Linked DNA regions of Nothobranchius furzeri. Each later gene encodes a partner of the first gene's protein in a complex. Links are inferred from orthologs where the notes say so. Each region holds a gene or a part of one and is shown on either strand. Other genes may lie near its edges.

Evidence for each region.
Region 2: the proteins of eif2s1b (region 1) and eif2b1 are in contact, whole or in part, in a cryo-EM structure (PDB 6K72), measured with the Homo sapiens proteins. The link is inferred for Nothobranchius furzeri from reciprocal best matches to the Homo sapiens genes EIF2S1 and EIF2B1. Residues at the interface, in NP_004085.1 of Homo sapiens: Ala28, Glu29, Met30, Tyr33, Gly44, Met45, Leu47, Leu48, Arg75, Lys80, Tyr82, Ile83, Asp84, Arg88; in NP_001405.1 of Homo sapiens: Gly39, Thr41, Ile42, Gln43, Gly44, Leu45, Arg46, Ala47, Asn48, Glu70, Arg74, Ser77, Ser80, Leu81, Glu82, Tyr83, Ser84, Asp85, Tyr86, Cys89, Leu305.
Region 3: the proteins of eif2s1b (region 1) and eif2b2 are in contact, whole or in part, in a cryo-EM structure (PDB 6K71), measured with the Homo sapiens proteins. The link is inferred for Nothobranchius furzeri from reciprocal best matches to the Homo sapiens genes EIF2S1 and EIF2B2. Residues at the interface, in NP_004085.1 of Homo sapiens: Leu51, Ser52, Arg53, Arg54, Ile56, Asn60, Lys61, Leu62, Arg64, Arg67, Lys87, Ser91; in NP_055054.1 of Homo sapiens: Glu92, Arg95, Gln128, Ser131, Asn132, Glu135, Ala136, Glu139, Val142, Glu143, Glu145, Glu149, Asn150.

Annotation. Positions count from the first base shown.
Region 1 is NC_091742.1:8,438,277-8,445,991, forward strand, and holds the start of eif2s1b (eukaryotic translation initiation factor 2 subunit 1b), read right to left. Parts: upstream 4,605-7,715; 5' UTR 4,440-4,604; intron 3,203-4,439; 5' UTR 3,201-3,202; coding exon 2,960-3,200; intron 1-2,959. Other genes in the region: atp6v1d (V-type proton ATPase subunit D), read left to right, coding at 4,839-4,879, 5,399-5,516, 5,673-5,752, 5,831-5,898, 5,985-6,029, 6,129-6,232, 6,338-6,404, 6,474-6,552 and 1 more. UniProt on the Homo sapiens protein: Member of the eIF2 complex that functions in the early steps of protein synthesis by forming a ternary complex with GTP and initiator tRNA. This complex binds to a 40S ribosomal subunit, followed by mRNA binding to form a 43S pre-initiation complex (43S PIC).
Region 2 is NC_091746.1:40,376,617-40,384,534, reverse strand, and holds the start of eif2b1 (translation initiation factor eIF2B subunit alpha), read left to right. Parts: upstream 1-2,977; 5' UTR 2,978-3,274; coding exon 3,275-3,287; intron 3,288-3,372; coding exon 3,373-3,474; intron 3,475-7,703; coding exon 7,704-7,840; intron 7,841-7,918.
Region 3 is NC_091742.1:2,322,193-2,330,038, forward strand, and holds the start of eif2b2 (translation initiation factor eIF2B subunit beta), read left to right. Parts: upstream 1-3,190; 5' UTR 3,191-3,293; coding exon 3,294-3,465; intron 3,466-3,868; coding exon 3,869-3,989; intron 3,990-4,084; coding exon 4,085-4,236; intron 4,237-4,333; coding exon 4,334-4,497; intron 4,498-4,581; coding exon 4,582-4,677; intron 4,678-4,751; coding exon 4,752-4,889; intron 4,890-4,976; coding exon 4,977-5,043; intron 5,044-5,131; coding exon 5,132-5,289; 3' UTR 5,290-5,294; exon of another isoform or gene 5,295-5,320; intron 5,321-7,652; exon of another isoform or gene 7,653-7,846. Other genes in the region: tmed10 (transmembrane emp24 domain-containing protein 10), read left to right, coding at 1,042-1,168, 1,305-1,426. UniProt on the Homo sapiens protein: Acts as a component of the translation initiation factor 2B (eIF2B) complex, which catalyzes the exchange of GDP for GTP on eukaryotic initiation factor 2 (eIF2) gamma subunit.

The DNA.
Region 1 (7,715 bases):
GCCCCGGTGTGATCAACCAGTTTCTGCGGGAATGTGACGGCGGAACCGGTTCGCAGCGGCGCGAGTCGTCCCCCCCCCCCCCCCCCCCCCCCGCATATCTAATAGCGTCGCGCTTACAATTTTAAATACTTTTTTTTACGAGCTTAGGGCATGTCTAGCCTGTGTAATAATCCGGAGCTTGGGTGAATCACTTTTGAAAAGTTTTTAACTTACCCGGACACCGAGCTCTCTCCTTCCTCGCTGATGATTCTGACATGCTTGCGTTTAAGACGCTGCATCATCACCGTAGTATCCCCATGCCATGCTAAGTCTGACCTACAAACGTTGCATGTCTTCGCCTGATTTAACTGAAAATGCTCCCAAACTTTAGAAGTTTTTACTTTTTGGGGGTCTCGCTGCTTCTGCCATGTTCCTCTTACAAACACCTGCTGGCTCTCCACCGGTCTGCGCGCAACGGCGGGCGGGAGGGGGCTTTTGGAAGAGTTGCGCAACACAACGAATCGATGACGCAATTCGTTGCCAACGCTTTTAGTAATCGATTTTCATCGAATTTATCGATTCGTTGTTGCAGCCCTAACCGACACGCACGACAGCCAGACGCCGTAAAGCAGCCTCCGCCTCCCAGACAAACAGAAGAAGAAGACGCCACATGGCTACATTGTAATTTCCCACGTGAGTTGTCTCCGATCCAAGTTTTGTCTGCCAAATAAATAAACAAAAACATAAACAGCGAATTTGGGAGGCGCTTCACAGCCCAACGTAATTAGCATACCAAGTCCGACACATAGTTGTATATTCACGCTTATGTGCTTAAAGGAAACTCCCGTTTATTGCAACCCGGACTTAATTTCTAGCATGCAGTACGTTTGTTTACTCACGCTGACAACTTTGGTGCTACTTGGATTCCCCGGGGTATTTAGATCCATCGGCGAATCGCCGTCAGCATATATCCATATAACGGGTGCGGACGGGCACCTATGGTGCAGCCTTGAAATAAGACATTATCTGCACCAAAACATCTCAATGTCGAAAGGTTTTGTTAGGAATCATTGACATGATTCCCCTGTTCGTTTGGAGCGGGTCTGGGATTTCTAGGCGTAAACAGACTAGCCGCGGCTAATTAACCGGCGCTTTTAATGACGTCTCTGCCGTGCGCCAATCTGTTTTTAATTAAGATTACCGGTAGATGTACCTCTGTCCTACTGTGGAGAAATTCATTTTCTCCCTTTATTGACCAACAGAGTTGTTCAAAAGTACAGAACAAAACATATGGCATTACATCTTATGACAAAAATGCACCTTAAACAGAGTTTAAGCAGCAAAACATCACTCTGCAAATAGTGTATATATAGTGAGGCAATTCATGATTTAAAGTAACTTTCGCCAGTTTTTGTATGCACGTTTTAAAAAATGCTGATACTTGAAAGGTTTAAGCACTTTACACACTTAATTCTTAACATTTAATTTTTGCAATATAAATTGAGGAATGTTATTTTTTGAATAAACTTGTTCAATAAATTGGTGTTTTTAAATAGTATCGAAATCGAGCACCGAATATTTTCAAGTATCGAATCGAGTTTGAAATTTTAGTATCGTGACAACCCTAGCACCGATACAATACTGGTATCGGTATCGGCATCGATACAGATACCAATACCAGTATCGGTAAAAGTTAACAGATACCAATGCAGTTGCTTGAAAATGGCTTCACTGTAACTTGTCATTTCTGTTCACCTAATATTTTAGTTTTGTGATATTTCCATTCATATATTTTACTTTTTACCTACCTCAGTCTTTTCCTGTTGAAAGCAGAGAAGAAAGTAAAATCTGTATTCCAAATCATTGCATTTTTTTGTGTGGTAGAAGTATCGGTATTGGTAATCGGTATCGGCGAGTACTCTGATCCAAGTATCGGTATTGTATCGGTTTGGAAAAAAGTGGTATCGTTGCATCCCTATTATGTGCCCCCTTTTTGAATTTGAGCACCCACCCCTTCAAAGGTCTCTGCATGTCCCTGGTCTGAACACATTTTACTGGTGCACTACGTGGTGATCTAGGTGCTGTGGAGGAAAAATAGAGAAACCAGCAAAGACAAACCATTGTAAAAGGCAGAAACAGTCCTAAGTTTGGGGTCAAGAATAAACTACGAGCAGAATTGCTAATGCTAAGCTAGCGGGTAGCATTCTCATGAGCAAGTGTGGTCCAGAAAAAAACATGATGGTTGTGAGCGACTAAACTCCACAAGTGGAAGAAAAACCTCCACCATCCTGTTTATGTGTGGATGTCTACAGCGGTGTGGTGCAGAACTGCTGCAGCTCCCTGGAGTCTGGTTGTTGCTACGAGTCTGCTCCATACACCGCAGCAGCGCAATGGCAAGCCGTTGTAGCATGTAATTCACAAACGCTTACATATTTGAACACAATGTAGACTAGATTACGTTGCCAACCTGTAAAAAATAAATAAATAATAATAATATATATATATAAAGAGACACACGCCACAAGTACAAATGAAATGTTATTAGCATTTCCAGTAACTTACTACTGAACATGTAAATGAAATGAATAATTCTACTGTGAATATTTTACTGATATTAATAGAAACCTAAAAAAAATTGTTCCATAAAATATTTAACTATAAAAATCAGCTGGGAAATAGGGAACACCAATTTAATATATTTTGTTGAGCCTCTTATAATTTTGCGTTTTTATTTTGGCAGCAGACCACAATCTCGTTTCACTTGAAACGCCGTCAAATAGAATACTCCATTAATCGATGGATGATTCGATAGAATACTCGAATACGAAAATATTTGATAGCTGCAGCCCTTATGCAAAAAAATAAAATAATTTTATATGACAGAAAATAATTGAAAACCCCTTCTATAGTGTGTTTAAAACAAGAATATCTTATGGATAATTTTATCTGTTAATGTTACGTTTCAAGTTGCAGCTCTCACCTTTCTCTTTGTCAACTCGAATGACGACGACACATTCGTTGCGACCGATGCGGATGAGCTTGTTGATGGAGCGAATACGTCTGCGGGACAGCTCACTCAGGAGGATCATGCCCTCGATGTTGTTGTACTCCAGAAGGCTGACATAGGCTCCCATCTCAGCGATGGACCTCACGTTCACCATCACCACATCCTCCACCTCAGGGAAGCGATGCTGATAGAACCGACAACTAAGCCCCGGCATTGCTGTGAAGATGTGAACAGAATAAGGGGGTACATATTTAGTTTGAAAAATAAGCATTAAACAAACTATTTGGATGTCACTCTGATAATACATAAAACGCTAGCCTCTCAAGAGTGAAAGCAGAAAAATATGTAAATATGTAATATTTTGTAGTGCTGTTGTAAATTTGACTTTAATAAAGTTTTTTGAGTTCATGGATGGGCAGAGCAGCCACAAAACTAAATCTACTCCAAAAACCTTTCATCAAAGATCAACATTTTACTTGCAGCAGTTTGAAGAGATCAAGTTTACTTTCATTTAAACGCCAACACATATTGATGCTACTGGTTTATTCACTTTAATCCAAACTGGAGATTCAGCTTTCAAAGAACATTTGACTTTTTATCACCACTAATCTGTAACAAAATTATTTCCCTCAATTGCAATGGACCTTTCTATGTTGTTCTTTGTTTAATGGAGAATGTTTGATGATTTTATTCTATTGGTATTAATCTGTTGACAGTGTGTGAAATATTATGTCACCAGTAAAACATTCCAATATTAATAAGCACAATTCACTTCTACAGGAGACTTGTTAATAACCCTTTGAGGGGGTTATTAGGAAGAATAAGGTGTTAACAGCCAACAGCACCTTATCTGAACTTAACAATCTGCGGCTTCAGAGAAACAGAAAAAGACTTAATATGTAATACTGATATTTGCACAAGTCATCAAGAATAAATAATGCACGGCTCTTGATACAATCAGCACCCTCATTAGCAGAAAACCCTGTGCAGAAAGCAAAATGTTGGGATTATTGCATAGAACAAGCATTTCAAGTATTCACATTTCAGCATTAATATTTGACCCGTTTGAAATAAATAAAATTCAGAACAGTTCTTCAAAAGATTCGTAGTTTTAGGCTTTTCCCCCCTCAAAATTTTAGTCTAGGAATGAATGGGATGATGCAACGTCCACAACTTTTTTTAAGAGCAAAAAACTGGCTTGAACATATGGAATTAAAAACAGACAATAAAATATTACAGCACATTAGTACTAGTAGTAAGGCACATTATAGCACATAGATAATGAATAAAACGCTAAGAGATAACATACGGTTTCATTACAAGCAGAAAAAGACATTTTAAGGTGTTAGCTTCCTGGCTAAGGTTTCCAAATCACATGCGGCTGCCAATGCTACACGTTTAGCTAGCAGTCTCTTCGTCGCTTCAAATATCTTCTCTGTCAGCGAAAACTCACCTGTGTCATGGAGTTACAGAATGATAAAGTTGGAATTTTATGATGGGCGTGTTTAAATGCTTCTCTATGTTTTCTTTCGGCTGCTTTTAGATGAAATTCTCAGACCCGTTAGCTCACATTCATGGGTGTGCAATTTTTTTTTGCCCCGGAAAGAATTAATAGAGAGTACCTCTCTGCGCATGTGTAAATTCACGGCTGTGTCACATGACTTGGGGTCAGCTGATCATTACGGACGGACAAGATCACGACCATTAGCTAGCTACGTTCACCTAATCCTGCTCGAATTATAGCTTTTTTGAGATATTATATTAACCTCAAACGATTCGTTATAGTTACAAGTAAAGTTAAATATTTAAGTTTAAAGCGTAGAAGTAGATCGGTCAACATAAAGACGAAAACATGTCTGGAAAGGACAGGATCGACATATTCCCGTCTAGAATGTAAGTATCGTCTTTTCTTATCGTATCGTCTTTTCTCTTGGCTAACAAATTAGCCCCCCCCCCCCCCCCATTAAATGTCACATTATTTTTCTAGCTTTCCAGATGCCGTGATAATTAATTTTCTGCATTTATTTACCTTAATTGGACCGCGTCTGCACTGCGGATACATTTTATTCATAGTTTGAGTCTGCTGTTTAAAAGAGGAAGCGCTATTTTTGTGTCATGTGATGTTTCTAACATCTGAGTGTGAACAGAGTCTGTACCTGCTTCATGAAAGCCACAAGGAAGGTCTAGTTCTAATTTTAAAGCCAAACTGACTGCACGTCACCTGTTTGTTTATGTGGAAAAACTCACTCAGATATTCATGTGTAAAAAAAGAAAAGTGGGTATCTGTCTTTCAGGATGGCCAACCATGCAGAGAAAAATAATTAGACAAATACTTTAAAAAATGTACAATAGGTGGTTGTGTAGTCACATCAGGTCTGAATCTATAAATAAATGTCATCTGTGTGTTTGCAGGGCCCAGACCATCATGAAGGCTCGACTGAAAGGGGCTCAAACTGGCCGCAGTTTGCTCAAGAAGAAATCTGACGCTCTCTCGATGCGCTTCCGTCAGATCCTTCGTAAAATTATTGAAGTCAGTCAGAACATTTAATGATTGCTGCTTCTCTTTCTTCACTCCAGCCAATTTGACACTAAAATAACTAGAGCAACTATTTAAATCTTGCATTATTTCTCACATAATAGAAAAACACCTAATAATGGAATTTTCTTTTATTCTCTGTTCTTTTAGACTAAAACTAAGATGGGAGAGGTGATGAGAGAAGCAGCTTTCTCATTGGCTGAAGCCAAATTTGCAGCTGGTGACTTTAGGTAAGAGTAATGACAATGTTACAGCCGTGTTTTATCGAGTCTGTTAGACGTGCGCAGCAACTTTTCATCTTCTTTCAGCACAACTGTAATCCAGAATGTGAACAAAGCCCAGGTCAAGGTTCGAGCCAAGAAGGATAATGTGGCGGGTCAGAAAAATCTTCCCATCATCATCATCATCATCATCACTGTAATTGATGGGAAACAACTATTCATGCTGAATTTGTCTTTTCAGGTGTCACCCTTCCAGTGTTTGAACACTACCAAGAAGGTGGAGACAGTAAGTAGTGTAATTGTACTTTTCAGACATGCATCATATTTGGATTAGTGTCTGTGAACCTCAGAAAGCTCAGCATGTTTGTGTGTGTGTGTGTGTCAGGTTATGAACTCACCGGTCTAGCCCGAGGAGGTGAACAGCTCTCCCGGCTGAAGAGGAATTATGCTAGAGCTGTTGAGCTGCTTGTGGAGTTGGCCTCCTTACAGGTGCTGTTATGGCTTTTAAGGCGTATTTTTCTGCCATATTTGCAAAATATCTATATATATATATATATATTTAATTTTGAATAAAAATTAATATTTTTTTAACAGACATCATTTGTCACCTTGGACGAAGCCATTAAGATCACTAACCGCCGCGTGAATGCCATTGAGCACGGTAAACAAACGAGTTGTTCAAAGATCTACAGATGCTTGTGTTTTTAACCATCTTTACTCTCCGTTGCAGTGATTATTCCCAGGATTGATCGCACTCTCACCTACATCATCACAGAGCTGGATGAGAGGGAGCGTGAGGAGTTCTACAGGTGAGAGCAGCTGCATCGGATTCCTTAACCATTAGTAAAAGGATCTGATGGGTTAGGAAGTCAACTACTGTAAGAGTCATGTGTAATCATTATTTTTGGTTTTTGGTGCATCTTATTTAAATATTCAACCTAAAACTGTTGGTGTAGCGCCCTCTTCAGGTTAATAGTCTGCATTCCATTTGAATTAGTTAGCCATCGCTATTGGTTAAAGGGTACCACTGTGGGGTCTAATACCAGCCGAATTTCTGGGTAAGCTATGCCGCCAGCAGGCTCTGCACCGGTTGCCTTGGCAACTCACAAGCCGATGCCTCAGGGCTGCTCACCTCCTCCAAAAAACCAGTCAGTTCAGGCTGCAGTCCCGCCCTCTCACCCCATCAGGCAACGCCTCCTTTTGGTGCATTTTTGAAACCAGAAGTGTGGGTGGAGTAAGGCTCTGGTAGGGGGGTGACTTACTCTTTAGTTTGGCCATTCTGAAGCTTCACATTTACAGTACCTGTTATTTTCCGCTGTGCCAGGCTGAAGAAAATCCAGGAGAAAAAGAAGCAGCTCAGGGAAAGGACAGAACGGGAGATCGCCGCCCGGCTGGCTGCACTCGGTCCCATCGCTGAGCCGGCTAACATGCTGACGGAGGAGACGGACGAGGACCTGCTGTTTGAGTGAACCCCTCCCTCCCCCCGTGGTTCAACACTCAACGTCTTATTTATTCCGTGCCTCCGGCCACGTTCACACCTCCCTATAAAGTTATTTTTCCCCTCCAGATCTGTGATTGTGTTTCTGTGCTGGAAAAGTCTGAACGTCTTCTCGTGTCGCTGTACAGACAAGTCTTAAGAAAAAAAAAAGTAATTATGAATAATAAACGTGTTGTTTGTGAGTAAAATGAAAGAAGCCCTCTGTGTGAACGGCTCACCTGTAGACGTCGTTTGGAGCATCGCATGCTGTAAAGCTGAAGTCTGTGTTGTGGAAACCTGTGAAGGGTAAATCTCTGACCCTGTAAAATATTGTCAACAAAATAAAGATGCTCTAAATATAAAGCAAACGCTCTTTTTTTTATGCTTTTGGTTTGAACACAAATGAGCCACGTTTACTCTGTAAGCTCATCCTGCTTCATAGAACATCACGCCTTTGTTTCGGCTTTAAGACTTCACACAACTACCAGGAACGGT
Region 2 (7,918 bases), on another chromosome or scaffold:
TGTTGTGTATCTCATGTTTGAGAAATCTTTACACTTTGGATCATCCTGTCTGTTTAAAGTAGGCTTGTTTTTACATCCTAGTGTTTCCCCTTTAAAATGTTTATACATAATTTATGTCAGAGATTATTAAATAAATCAGAAAACTTAGATCTTAGTTTCATTTTATCATTCACTGTGGCAAAGTTTGAAAAAATAATTCAACTTGTCTTGAGAAAATCTAAGGGCTGCATGAGCTCGTTCTACTGTCAAATTGATTAAAAAAAGACTATGTTGCCCTCTAGTGGTGCCAGCTTTTATGGAGAATAAAAACAAACAAAAAACGAATTTATTTGACCGGAGTGGGACAAATAAATATAAAACAGGAAAATGCACAAGCTTTGCGTGGTGTTTTAAAATGTTTCGCTAATTTAAATTCCTGCTTGTTTTTTTCTGTAGGTATATTCTAATGGCAGCTTTTCTCTTTTTCGAAATGTTGTTTCTTTGATTGACTTATCTTTTGTGAGTTTTTGTACCTTCTTTAATTTGATTTATTTTATGTGCAGCAGGCACGTGTAGAGGGGGTGGGCCGGAGGGTGCTTGAGCACCTGCCCCTTTTGTCCGAAGTACCCTAAGTATCCTTTTTCCGCTCTTTCGCCAGATTTTACTGTTCAAAACTGTTATACTGTGATACATATCAGGCACTAGGACCATGCGGAGGCAGCCGCTTCAAGCTGAAGCCCATTCTGAGCCCATTTTCCCTTAGACCCGCCTACAAGCTCACTGATTGGCTCTGCTGCACATACTAACGTGTGATTGGTTGTCCCTGCTGTCGCTCTACCTTGCAGTCATGGAGACGACAGTAAGGTTTGCGTTCATCTACCTGTAAGGTTTTTTTTTCTTCCTGCTTCACGTCAGCTGGAGGGATTTTAATATCAGAGCTTTTGTTTACATTTGTTTGAGTCCGTGGTTAGTGTGTGTGGAGCAGTGGAGGTAGCTGCATGTCTGAGACAGAAAATGGGACATGAGACTTAAGTGTTGAAGAAACTCACAACAAATAATCACTCACTCTAGATTCTCCGGATCATAGCTTCTGAAGTACTAATCGAATAAAAATAATTCCAACGTTTCTAAAAGTACATATAACGAGCTTTTCAACGAGGTATTACATGATGTAATTCATGTTACTCAAAAAAATTGTATTTAGAAGCAAACCGGTGATGGTAAAAGTGAATGTGAGCATAATTATACACATTTTATTACTTTATTATGTATTTTTTATTGTTGACTATTACTCCAAAGGGTTCAAGTGAAGGCAACTGGACTTCTTTGGTTTCTTTAAAACATCTCACTTCTCATCTGAGGAGCTTTGTCCATTCTAACAGGAAAATGGGAGAGTCAAGCTTATGAGCTGTAGCTGTCTGTTGCTGTTTAACGAGCTGTAACTACTCTGGGTACCCGGCCTCTCCATATCCTGATGAGTCGTTAGCCTCTTTTGCAAGGGAGTCATGTTGATTAGACACAGGAAGGCGTGACCTAGACAGAAATTGCTTAGGAATGAGATTCACAGCTGCATTATAGGTGCTGGAAAGGTGAAACCTAAGCCCCTCCCCTATTTAAAGTGGAGTTTTCACATTTGACATAGATAGCTTCTTTTACTCCTCTCTCAAACCATCTATGTCCAGAATGTGTACTTTGTCATCTTCAAAGGTGTGTCCCTTGTCCTTCAGGTGTAGGTGGACTGTAGAGTTTGCTGAAGAGGCGGCTCTCCTGTGTTGTGCCATGCTCTTGTGTAATTGTTGTTTAGTTTCTCTAATGTAAACATCTGGACAGTGCTCCTACACTGGACTACATAAACTACCCCACTGAGCTTCTGTTGGGGTGTTTTGTCTTCTGGATGGACCAGGTTCTGTCTGAGGGTGTTGTTGGGTTAAAGTTTACCGGGATGTTGTGTTTGGAGAAGATTCTTCTAAGTTTCTCTGAGTCTCCTGCCACGAATGTGATGATGGTGCCTTTGTGTAAAGGATGTTGTTGTTAGGTTGGTAGCAGAGCTCTCATGTTTAGTGCTAAGTTCAGTGAGATCATGGAATGGGATCAAGAATTTTCTACTGACAGGAAAAAGATCTCAGCTAACATAGCTGTAGATCACACTGGATAACTTTGTGTGGTTGCATTTATTTTACTACTTCTTGCTAGAGCTGTCTTTAGTAAGCTCAAAGTCAATTTGGTTGTACACCTGTGAAATAGCAATAAATGATCTTGAATACTGTTAAATGTACTTCCTGAATGAGTGACCTTTTAAGGCTAAAATAACAAAATGACAAATACAGACAGAAGGATGACTTATTTCTTCTTTTGTAACTCATTGCATCACCACCTGGTATCAGAACAGTACTCGGTATTGGAAGATAATCAAAAATCAAACAACCTGGACTCAGATCAGAGGCAAAAATGTGGTTGTAACATCTCTAGATATAAGTCAGCTTTATAAACTAAAACAATTATTTATGAACTAACATTAACACTAATGACACTAATTGATATATTTTTATTATGTTGTTTGAACCCAAGGGTCTCATTATCTGAATTTTCTAACCTGTTGGATTGTGAATCTGTTTAAAAGTTTTGCTCTATAAGTGCCCCTTTTTTTACTTTGAGCTCCCGCCCCGTCAAAGGTCTCTGCACAGCCCTGATGTGCAGCATAGATGTAAAACAGGCCATTTTGGTTCGTTATAAATAAATGTCAGGGCCAAATTTTGTTTTTTTGGTCTGTTGTCTCTTTAGGGACATCTCGTTTCTATTTTATATTATTGTTCGACTTCTTATTTTGATGTGTATATTGTCATATTTTAGAACATTTTGCATCTATTTGCTCCATTTTGTCAAACCTTATTCACAAGTTAGTTTAATTTATTTTAGTTATTTTCATAAAACTAACTTGTAGACTCAGCTTTACATTTAAGTAATGTGCATGAAGGTAACACGAACGTCTACGTCATTTTCTTGCGACACGCAACTCGCTGCGTGAAGCTAAAAGCGTGAAAGTCTCTAGATGGTGTCAACAGAACTATTCAGACTTTGAGAGCTGTTTTCTTGCTGGCGTGTAAAAAGGTTTGGTTGAATCAAACATTTGAAACATCAGTTTTGCTTCTCTGAATTATTTGAGGCCGCAGCTTTGCGGTGTAGCGGTTCTGGTGCTGTCTAAACATCTCTAAACTGACTGATTCTTGCTAATAAAACGTCCAGAGGTTGGTTTTGAGTTGGAATAGCGGTTTTTAGGCTCCTATCTTATTTCAAAATGAATGAAGAAGGTAAGGCGTTTCATGTGAGGGATTATCTGCTCTGCTGTGGACTCGCCGATGCTAAAACTGTCCTGTCTCTGTGGTCCTGGATCAGAGCTGGTGGAGTACTTCAGGGCTCAGATGAGGAAAGACCCGGGCATGGCCTCTGCCGTTGCGGCCATCCGCACCCTGCTGGAGTTTCTCAAAAGAGACAAAGGTGTGTATGTCACCTCATATATGCCACCTCAGTATGGATGTTTTCATACTTTAATTTCAGATATACTGTCAAGCAAAGCACCATTATGTTTTTGATATTACAGATTATAATTACCACTTATTAATCATTTTAGGTTAAGAACAATTTTCTTTTCAAAAAGCAAGTATTTCTTCTTAAATTCAAACCTCCAGGTTTATTCAACATCTTTTACATTTAAGGACTTAGGCTGATTTTTCCACTCATTTTTTAAGCAGCCAAAGTTGAGATATAAACAAAAAGACCTTCAGAAAGTTTACAGAGTGGTTGATCTCTTTAAAATATTACAAGATGATTTGATTGCTTGGAAGCAAATTATAAAGAATTGAAATGTTTGCCAAATGTATGATTGGAATTTTAAAGTATTTTTATTACTTGTAGTCTTTTTGTATTTTTCTATCTATCTATCGTCCGTCCATCCATCTATCCATCCATCCATCCATCCATCCATCCATCAATCTATCAATCACACACTGCTCACAAGAATTAAAGGAACAATTTTTTTATTGGGCCTGGCATGAAATCAATTAAATCCATCCATAAAGTGGCAACAATTACAAAACCCTCAAAACAGGACTGGTTTAACATGTAGAGGTCATTTCAAGTTTCTCCCTCTTGAGCTTTTTCTGCTGGTTTTCCACTCGTGCTAGTTTTGGCTCTCTACTGGCAGTATGAGGCGATTCCTTAACCCTACAGAAGTTGCACAGGTTGTCCAACTTCTCCAGCATGGCACATCCACACGTGCTGCAGTAAGAAGGTTTTAATGTGTCTCCCAGCACAATCTCCAGAACATGGAGATTTCAGGAGACTGGCGGTTATTCTGGGAGAGCTGAACAGGGCCGTAGAAGGTTCACAACCCATCAGCAGGACTGATATCTGCTCCTTTGTGCAAGGCGGAACAGTCTGAGCACTGCTCGTTCCCTACAGAATGACCTCCAGAGGGCCACTGGTGTGAATGTCTCTACCCAAACAATCAGGAACAGACTTCATGAAGATGGCCTGAGGGTCTGACGTCCTGTAGTGGGCCCTGTGCTCACTGCCCAGCACCGTAGAGCTTGACTGGCATTTGCTCATGAACACCAGAATTGGCAAGTCCGCCACTGGCACCCTGTACTTTTTTCAGACGAGAGCAGGTTCACCCTGAGCACCTGTGATAGACGTGAAAGAGTCTGGAGAAGACAAGGAGAATGTTATGCTGCCTGCAACATCGTTCAACATGACAGGTTTTGGTGGTGGGTCAGTGATGGTCTGGGGAGGCATATCCATGGAGGGACACACAGACCTCTACTGCCTAGGAAATGGTGCTCTGACTGCCATAAGGTATCGAGATGAAGTCCTTGAACCCGTTGTCAGACCCTACGCTGATGCAGTAGGTCCTGGTTTTCTCCTACTGCATGACAAAGCCCGCCCTCATGTGGCAAGAGTATGCAGGCAGCACCTGCAGGATGAAGTAATTGAAACAATTGAATGGCCTTCACGATCCCCTGACTTAAACCCAATAGAACATCTGTGGGACATTATGTTTCGGTCCATTAGGCAGCACCAGGTTGCTCCTCAGACTGTACAAGAGCTCAGGGATGCCCTCACACAGATCTGGGAGGAAATGCCACAAGACACCATCTGTTGTCTCAATAGGAGCATGCCCCGACGTTGTCAAGCATGTACACAAGCTCGTGGGGGCCACACAAGATACTGAAAAGCAATTTGAGTTGCAGAAATTAAGTTTTTGAAATAATGGACTAGCCTGCCACATCTTCATTTCACTCCGAGTTTAGGGTGTTAACACAGTTGAGCCCTCTCTAGGCTGATAACTTTTATTTCCATTAAAAGACTTGGCATCCTTTTGTTCCTAAGACATTGCCCTGTCGTTATTTGTATAGATATCCAACTTCATATTGAGATCTGATCTATCTAATGTGTTTCTTTAAAGTGTTCCTTTAATTTTTGTGAGCAGTGTGAAAAACGAATTGCCCCTTCCTGATTTCTTATTTTTTTGCATGTTTGTCACACAAATTGTTTCTGATCATCAAACACATTTAACCATTAGTCAAAGATAACACAAGTAAACACAAAATGCAGTTTTGAAATGATGGTTCTTATTATTTAGGGAGAGAACAAAATCCAAACCTACATTGCCCTGTGTGAAAAAGTAATGGCCCCCTTGTTAAAAAAATAACCCAACTGTGGTGTTTCACACCTGAGTTCAATTTCTGTAGCCACCCCCAAGCCTGATTACTGCCACACCTGTTTCAATCAAATCACTTAAATATGAGCTGCCTGACACAGAGAAGTAGACCAAAAGCACCTCAAAAGCTAGACATCATGCCAAGATCCAAAGAAATTCAAGCACAAATGAGAACAAAAGTAATTGAGATCTATCAGTCTGGTAAAGGTTATGAAGCCATTTCTAAAGCTTTGGGACTCCAGCGAACCACAGTGAGAGCCATTATCCACAAATGGCAACAACATGGAACAGTGGTGAACCTTCCAAGGAGTGGGCGGCTGACCAAAATTACCCCAAGAGCGCAGAGACAACTCATCCGAGAGGTCACAAAAGACCCCAGGACAACTTCTAAAGAACTGCAGGCCTCACTTGCCTCAGTTAAGGTCAGTGTTCACGACTCCACCATAAGAAAGAGACTGGGCAAAAATGGCCTGCATGGCAGATTTCCAAGACGCAAACCACTGTTAAGCAAAAAGAACATTAAGGCTCGTCTCAGTTTTGTTAAGAAACATCTCAATGATTGCCAAGACTTTTGGGAAAATACCTTGTGGACTGATGAGACAAAGGTTGAACTTTTTGGAAGGCAAATGTCCCGTTACATCTGGCGTAGAAGTAACGCAGCATTTCAGACAAAGAACAGCATACCAACAGTAAAATATGGTGGTGGTAGTGTGATGGTCTGGGGTTGTTTTGCTGCTTCAGGAACTGGAAGGTTTGTTGTGATAAATGGAACCATGAATTCTACTGTCTACCAAAACATCCTGAAGGAGAATGTCCGGCCATCTGTTTGTCAACTAAAGCTGAAGCGATCTTGGGTGCTGCAGCAAGACAATGACCCAAAACACACCAGCAAATCCACCTCTGCTCTGAATGGCTGAAGAACAACAAAATGAAGACTTTGGAGTGGCCTAGTCAAAGTCCTGACCTGAATCCTATTGAGATGCTATGGCATGACCTTTAAAAGGTGGTTCATGCTAGAAAACCCTCAAATAAAGCTGAATTACAACAATTCTGCAAAGATGAGTGGGCCAAAATTCCTCCAGAGTAATGTAAAAGACTTGTAGCAAGTTATCGCAAACGCTTGATTGCAGTTATTGCTGCTAAGGGAGACCCAACCAGTTATTAGGTTCAGGGGGCAATTACTTTTTCACACAGGGCAATGTAGGTTTGGATTTTGTTCTCTCCCTAAATAATAAAAACCATCATTTCACAACTACATTTTGTGTTTACTTGTGTTATCTTTGACTAATGGTTAAATGTGTTTGATGATCAGAAACATTTTGTGTGACAAACATGCAAAAGAATAAGAAATCAGAAAGGGGGCAAATAGTTTTTCACACCTCTGTAGATGGCCATGGGTCATTTTTATTTCTTAGTGCTGAATAGACACATTTTTGAGTAACATCCCACTTTGAATCTCTCATGTGACTTTGTCACTTTCAGAACAAAAACATGGATTTTGTCTCAGCAACGAGGCTCTAATGCATTCGTTAATTTCCGCAAAACTCAAGTGTTGTTTTCAAACTAATAAAATAAAGGTTTCTTCTTGGATGAAAACATTTTTTTTATCTGACCGTTTTAGCTTCCTACTAGAGGGCTTCTTCATGCGCTGTCCTCTGTTGGAGCGATGAGGCCCCCTCATCTCATCTTTGTCTTGTTTCCTGAGTTTATTGCCTCCCTTATAGCGGAGATGAGGGGGCAGACACATTGCCAAGAGCTTGAGACTTGCTCCTTGAGGCAACATCTGGTGCATATGGGAGTGCCCGTCAACGTAACGCATACCAGGAATACCAGAAAAACGCAGTGTCATTGCTCCATTAGATGGCAGCTCATGAAGAAGGCCTCAAATAGGAAAGTGAAACTTTGGTAAAAGACATTCAACCCAAGATACTTGGCTGTTTAAGAAGACACCTTAAGTTTTATTAGTTGTAACAAGGCATTGTGTTCTTAAACCATCGTTTCCCTGCAGGTGAGACCATCCTGGGCTTGAGGGAGAGTCTGAAACAGGCCACAGGCTGCCTGATGGGGGAGGACTCATCCGTGGCTGTGTCGTCTGGAGGTGAACTCTTCTTGCGCTTCATCAGTCTCACCTCTCTGGAGCACCAGGTGAAGCAAAACACTTCAATGTTCAGATTATCAATCTTCTTTAAGGCAGTTATCCACCTGCTATGGATTATGGAACAA
Region 3 (7,846 bases), about 6.1 Mb from region 1:
GATTACTCCAGAAGTCCTTCAAATCTAAGCTTTTGGCACGCTTAATGAGTTTTAGCCCGAGTAGCATCAAGGATTTCTTAGAAGGAAGAAAACTGAAAAAGATGCAAATAAAAAAAATTTTTTTATGTGGAGTAATTTTTGAATGTTGCTTGTTTACTAGAGCATTGTTTATTATTTAGGAATCAGTCTTGCTACATAAGGAATGAATGATAAATAATGGAAGCTTCCCTGAATGACTTGCTACAGAAAATGAATCTGTGAAGATTTTTGCTAGCATAGGATTAGTGGATTATTCTACCAGATTAGATTCATCCCATCAGTTATCAGTATTCCCAGGGGACTCCCTCTCCTCCCTGATTGAGTTTTTTGTGGAGGATCTAGTGAAATAATGACCTCATCAGCTTGGCTCCCATTTCTGCTGAAACCTATTATTAATTTGTTTGTTTACACCAGGTGATGACTGAGACCTGAAGGCATGTAGGTTAGTGGGACAGAGCTGGGGAAGGCTGAAATACAAACACAGGAACATTCTTGGAATGTTTTCACCTCCTTCCTTTCTGTCAAAGAGCCGTTGGTCTTCTCGGTGTATTTTCAAAATTTCTTTCTTTCCTTTTTTTTTTTTTTTTTTTTTTTACAATATTTGTTTGGATTTTTTGATAATTTTCACTGCTAGTGAAGTATATCTCTGTCTGGTTTGTCAGTTTAAAACATTTAATGTGAAGGAATAAAAGAGTATCATCTGCAAAAGTCAACATTAACTGTATAACATTGACATAAGTGCCTAAACTGAAACATGCAAACCTTCAGAATTCTTGGTTAATCAAGATTAATGTTGAAAATTAGAGAAAAAAGTGTTAAAAGAGAAGAAACAAGGAATCATTGGGGCTTCTAGAGACCTTATATCAGGCATCTCCGGTTCAGCTGTGAGGTTCACACACTTCTATTTACAGTTTCAGAGCGACACCTACTGGACAAGTTGTTAACCAACACCACTGATAAAGCTAGTCAGTGTTTTCATTCGTCTCCGTTTTGACCCTTCAGATTGCAAAAGTGGAAAAACTGAAGCCTCTGGAGGTTGAGCTGAGGCGGCTGGAGGACCTGTCAGAATCCATCGTGAATGACTTTGCTTACATGAAGAAGAGGGAAGAGGAGATGCGGGACACCAACGGTAAGGCAACCACCGAACCATCAGGTCATCGATGTCACATAAATATATATATCTTAGTGTTTTGGGAAAGAGTCCTAATAAAAAAGAAAAACTTCAATAATAAAACGTGGTTAACTCCTGTATCTCACCACTACAGAGTCCACAAACACACGCGTGTTGTACTTCAGTATATTCTCCATGTGCTGTCTCATCGGACTGGCCACATGGCAGGTCTTCTACTTGCGGCGCTTCTTCAAGGCAAAGAAGCTGATCGAGTAGAGCGGTTCACCTGGCTCCGTTCCCCGAGGAACCCTGCCCGCCAGTCGGCAACCCCATCCCAGCATCCACCCTTCTTGGACTAGCGTCAACAAGCAACAGCAAGTGGGGCTGAGGGGCTCAAAATCTGGTTTTCAAGGTTGAGAGAAAAGGGTTTTCCTCCGGGGGAACATCTGCTTGTTACGTAGCTGTCAACAAGAAAAGCTCTGCAAGGAGAAATGAAGTGAGATGATGGTTGTTTCTTTCTGCACCGTTTTTACTGTTGCAGCTTCCTGAACAAGATTCCTTCATCAGTTGAATCGTGTTTTATTTTGAGCTCACTTTGAATGGATACACCATGAGTGAATGTTTCTGCCCTTCTGTTGAAATGCATTCTTTGCCATGTCATGCAAACTAGATCATCTGTCCTTTTGTCGACCAGGGCTCATTGAAAACATGGTTTGTTGTTACTTTCAGAAATTGGCAACCACTGAAACTTTGTGTCGTGTCACTCAGTAGCTATATTTAACTGTGTCTTTAGTTTTTCATATTGTAACTGCCACTTAGTTGCTTCTACTGGAAGGGTTTGAATTTTCACATTAATATTCCTTTATTGTAAATTTGGTCACTTCCTTGATCTCTTGCATGTTCGAGTTTTGTTTTTGGAACCTCCATCATCCAAGAACCAAAAATCCTCTTCTTGCACCGACATGGTTTGTATGACGCATTCATGCAAGTTTCTCATCAGAATGCAGGTTGGTAGTTGTGACAAAAAATTAGAAGTTATTCAGACATTTGCCCCTTTTTTGCTTTACACCTGATTATATTGTTTCCAATAACAGTCCTTGCAGATCCATCCAGTGTTGGTTTTATTTTTGTTTTTTCGTTGGAAGTGTTTGAATCTTGGGTCACGTCAATGTGGGTGTTTGCAGGTTTTCATATTGGTTTTGACAGGAAGTAATGGCTGTCCTGGTACATTTTTAACAATGGAACATGCGCATTCAGCGCAGTCAGTGATTTTTATGTTGACTGATAAATTTTGTAAATTTGTGTTGGGCTTTTATTCAATAAAAATATTGGATGGATTTACATGAGTTAAGTTTGTAAAGGTGTTTCCCTGTTCAAAGAATGTTCAGAATTTTTTTTTTTTTTTTGCCAGTCCTATAATAAAAATTACAGTGATCCAAACAGGTATTCTGTTGCATGGAGATAATAAAATACAAGGAAAACTGAATTTGTAACCAAGAAATTATGATCTATGTAAAACTTATGCAAGAATAACAAAATTACTAAAAAATCAAAAATTTGCCCAGATTAAAACTAGGTCATGTGTTTGATGGTAGGAAACTTCACCTACCTAAGTTTTGAGCAAATAACACGTGCATAATATTTTCACAAATTTGTATTGAATTAACATATTTTTTATTATGCCCTGTCTGCTTTTTTCTAATTGATTACTTCATTAATTTTTTTTATTAGTAAAATAAAATAGCACAAAAAATAACTTTTCGTTAGTTGTTGAAGGACAGACATTTTTTAAAATTCAAAATCAAATGGGAAAGGCCCCGAACTCCTTTCTTACCCATGCTGCCGCCTTTGGCCAAGTCTCCTTTGAAAAATGGACTTTAATCCTAAATAAAGGTTGAATAAACATTAAAGCTAAATAAAAAAATCAAGTATTTTTAGGATGAGATGCCTAGTTTATTTACGTTTTAAAGATATCGCTTAAAAGGTGATGAAGATAGACGCAGTAATCAGTCAACCAATCAGAGAGAAGAACACCCGCGTCCCCCGGATGTAATTCAGAAGAAATTCCGGTTCCCGATTTTTATGGTAGAAATTCGCCTATATCTGTTTTCTGCCGGTTAGTTCTGTAGTTTTTACTTGAACTATGCCGGGCCCGTACAAAGAAACGGACCTGACGGAGAGGGTCGAAGCTTTCCTGTCGGACCTGAAGCGGGGAGGCAGCGGAACCGGACCTCTGAGAGGTTCGGCTGAAACGGCCAGAGAAACGACGGCGCTACTCCGCAAAATTACCGCCCAGGCTCGGTGGAGCAGCGCAGGTGCTTCATTTGTCCCCTTTCTTCAGTTTAAAGTTAACCTTAACATCACAGTAGATCCACAAGCTGCTATAGGATCTACAAGTGGAGAGAAACACCGCGAAATATGTTAGCTGTTAAAACCCACGCTCCAGGAACAGGATATTAGCCTATTAGCATAACGGTGCGCCTAGTTTAGTACAGATGCTATGTAAGTACAAGACGTACATAGGATTAAATGTGGAGCAGTGTCCATATACATGTAAAAATGAATGGGAATGCAGACAGATGAATAGAAACGAACAATAACAACTTAATTTAAAGTTGCTTCAGTCAAACCTCATAATTATCCGTCTGTGTGCCCCTGTTGGCTCTCACCATTGTTGTGATCTGATCCTGTTTGATATTTTCACGTTTTCTGTCTTAGGTGATCTCATGGAGATCATCCGTAAAGAGGGCAGGAGAATGACCGCTGCTCAGCCTTCAGAGACCACCGTTGGTAACATGGTCAGAAGGGTGCTGAAGATCATCAGAGAGGAATACGCCAGGTGAGGACGCACCAGGGTGTAATCGGAATAAAAACATAAAACAGACAAAACTAATTCCTGCTTCCAAAAGGACACAATGTTAATTCTCTCCTTAGATCTCGAGGTAGCAGTGAAGAAGCAGACCAACAGGAGTCGCTCCACAAGCTCTTGACCTCTGGAGGACTCAGCGAGGAGAACTTCAGGCATCATTTTGCTCCTCTTAAAGCTAACGTCATCGAGGCCATCAACGAGTTGCTGACGGAGCTGGGTGAGTTGTTCTTATTAAGCTTATTTAGTTTTCAAGCAGAATAAATCCACAATTTTAAGGAGATTTCTTTAATTCTGGGCTTCCTTCACTCTTTCAGAGGGAACGACTGACAACATTGCGATGCAGGCACTGGAACACATTCACTCCAACGAGGTCATCATGACAATCGGGCGCTCTCGCACCGTAGAGGCCTTCCTCAAAGACGCTGCGCGGAAACGCAAGTTCCATGTCATCGTAGCAGAGTGTGCACCCTTCTGCCAGGTAGCACGGACAAATGAGGTCTAAGTAAGTTAAACTCTTTGTTGTTTAAAATAATTTTTTAAAACTTTATTTATCTTCTAATAGGGACATGAAATGGCCACCAGCCTATCAAAAGCGGGCATAGAAACAACCGTGATTGCAGATGCGGCCATATTTGCGGTCATGTCTCGAGTTAATAAGGTATTTTTCCACATCTGATGATTAAGGGTATCGTCAGGGCATGCAGGTTAACTTGTGTGATGATGTGTCTGCAGGTCATCATCGGTACTCAGACAGTCCTAGCAAATGGTGGTTTGAGGGCCGTCAATGGAACACATACACTTGCCCTCGCGGCCAAACATCACTCAACACCTCTCATCGTTTGTGCTCCGATGTTCAAGCTCTCACCTCAGGTCCGATAAACACCCGCATCCATCAGACCTTTGCTCTTTCTCTTAATAACAAACAATTTCAACTTTTATATTTTATTTATTTTGCAGTTTCCAAATGAGGAAGACACCTTCCATAAATTTGTTTCCCCACACGAAGTCCTCCCTTTCACCGAAGGTAAGTCGTTACCACAACCTCCTTTTGAGCCTTCAGGTGAAAAGTTGCATCCATTGAAAGAAATCAGTTTTATCTTTTTGTTTTTCAGGTGAGATCCTCTCTAAAGTCAACGTACACTGTCCAGTGTTCGACTACGTTCCTCCTGAGCTCATCACTCTCTTCATCTCCAACATTGGAGGACATGCACCCTCATACATTTATCGACTAATGAGTGAGCTTTACCACCCGGAGGACCACGAGCTTTAATCGCTGTAATAAATAAGTTATTAACTATTGACGTTGAGTTTTGTTTACTTTGAGAGAAAGAGAGCCCAGTGGCAGGAAGGCAGTTTTCTCCTCTTTTATTTAGTTCCACACAAACCTTCCACTTCAGCACAAAACAGAGGTAAACACATCGACTAAAGATACTAAAACCACGTGATAATCCACATCTGGACTCCATCTTTGATGAATAAATGGTAATCAAACACCTCTCCCATTAGCAGTTACACAATCACTTTTTTTCTGTAAAAACAAGTTTTCATTTATGAAAAAGTTTTAAGGGAAACGTGCCTTAGTGGTGGGAAAACTTCCCCTTTCTGATCCAGTCTAGCGGTTGAGGTTATTATGGAACTAACGCTAAAATATTTGGCTACGCTGTAATTTTGCCACCATTTGACAATTTCAAGCCACTAATAGACATTAAACAAATAGTTTTATAGATTTTATTGTAGCTGCAGCGATGTAGGACATTTAAAGGGTACAAATAAAAATACATAAATACTAAAATTTGCATTAAAATATACACTCACTGGCCACTTTATTGGATACACCTGTCCAATTGCTCGTTAATGCTAATTACTAATCAGCCAATCACAGGGTGGCAACTTAATGCATTTAGGCGTGTTGGCATGGTCAAGATGATCGGCTGAAGTTCAAACTGAGCTTCAGAATGAGGGATGAAAGGTAAGTGAAGTGACTTTGAACGTGGTCTGGTTGTTAGTGCCAGACGGGCTGGTCTGAGTATTTCAGAACCTGCTGATCTTCTGGGATTGTGACACACCACCATCTCTAGAGTTTACAGAGAATGGTCTGAAAAAGGGAAAACATCCAGTGTGCAGCAGTTCTGTGGGTGAAAATGCCTTGTTGGTGCCAGAGGTCAGAGGAGAATGGCCAGACTGGTTCCAGTTGATAGAAAGACAACAGTAACTCAAATAACCAATTGTTACAGTCAAGGTGTGCAGAAGAGCATCGACACGTCGAACCTTGAGGTAGATGAGTTACAGCAGCAGAAGACCACACCGGGTGCCACTCCTGTCAGCTAAGATCATGAAACTGAGGCTGCAATTCATACAGGCTTACCAAAACTGGACAATAGAAGACTGGAAGAATGTTGTGTGCTGCAACATTCAGATGGTAGGGTCAGAATTTGGCGTCAACAACATGAAAGCATGGATCCATCCTGCCTTGCCTCAACGGTTCAGGCTGCTGGTGGTGGTGGTGTAATGGTGTGGGGGACATTTTCTTGGCACACTTTGGGTCCCTTAGTACTAACTGATCATCGTTGCAACGCCTCAGCCTACCTGAGTATTGTTGCTGACCATGTCCATCCCTTTGCGACCACAGTGTACCCATCTTCTAACGGTTACTTCCAGCAGAATAATTTACCATGTCATAAAGCTGGAATCATCTCAGACTGGTTTTTCTAACAAGACAGTGAATTCACTGTACTCCACAGTCACCAGATCTCAGTCCAATAGAGCACCTTTGGGATGCGGTAGGACGCATCATGGATGTGCTGCCAACAAGTCTGCAGCAACAACGGGATGCAATCATGTCAGCATGGACCAACATGTGAGGAATGTTCCCAGTACCTTGTTAAGGCAGCTCTGAAGGCAAAACGGGGTCCAACCCGGTACTGGCAAGGTGTACCCAATAAAGTGGCCAGCAGCTTTATTTATATAGCACATAGCACACATAGATGATATTTAATGTGCTGTCCAGTAGCACGAAAAAACTGGAAACGTAAACGGTAGATTTTAACATCTGTACAGAAAATGTGACTTTAAAAAAGAAAAGGTTATTAAAGACTGAGCGGTTATGTAGAGGTCACATGACGCTGGCTCCATCCGTGTGCAGCATTGTAGCTAAAATATTGTCTGTAAAAATAATGTTTGTAAAGAACCAAAGATGTGTATTTTCCTAACAGGTTCAGAGACAAAAAACAAAATATGATGTTTTTTTAACTGCAGTGTTACATTTATTACATCTTTATCCTAAAAGCAGTTCTTATGTAAATAATCAGACTTTTTTTCTTAAATCTCTAACTGAAAAAGCATTTTGGCTGATTTTTCTCTGCTGTTCTTGTGTAACCACTCTTCTGTGCACAGTAACAAACCCCACTGAACATAAATGATGCACGTTATTTATGATTTAAAGAAACAAACACTTGTCACTAGTCTGCTGTATGTAGGCGTTAATGTGCACCTGTGATACCTGACCAGAGAGGTCGTGTGTGCTGGCGTGACTCGGCTTTCCAGCTAAATGCAACACAAATCCTCCACTTCAACTTCAATAACATCCCATAAAAACTTGTAATCCTTCAAAATAAGTTTCCAGAATACCATTAGTACAGGCCAAGATGAACTTTATTGAAGAACTTAATTCTTGACACTACACTCTTTGTCTTATTTTTGCTAATTCAGGCACAGCAATAAAACTTCTTTTTTACCTTTATGGAACAAACGGGAAATTTTTACTGTTTTTCTGTAGTAAAGTTCAAATCTTTTTTGAAATACAATTATGGACTAAAACCTATTTACTC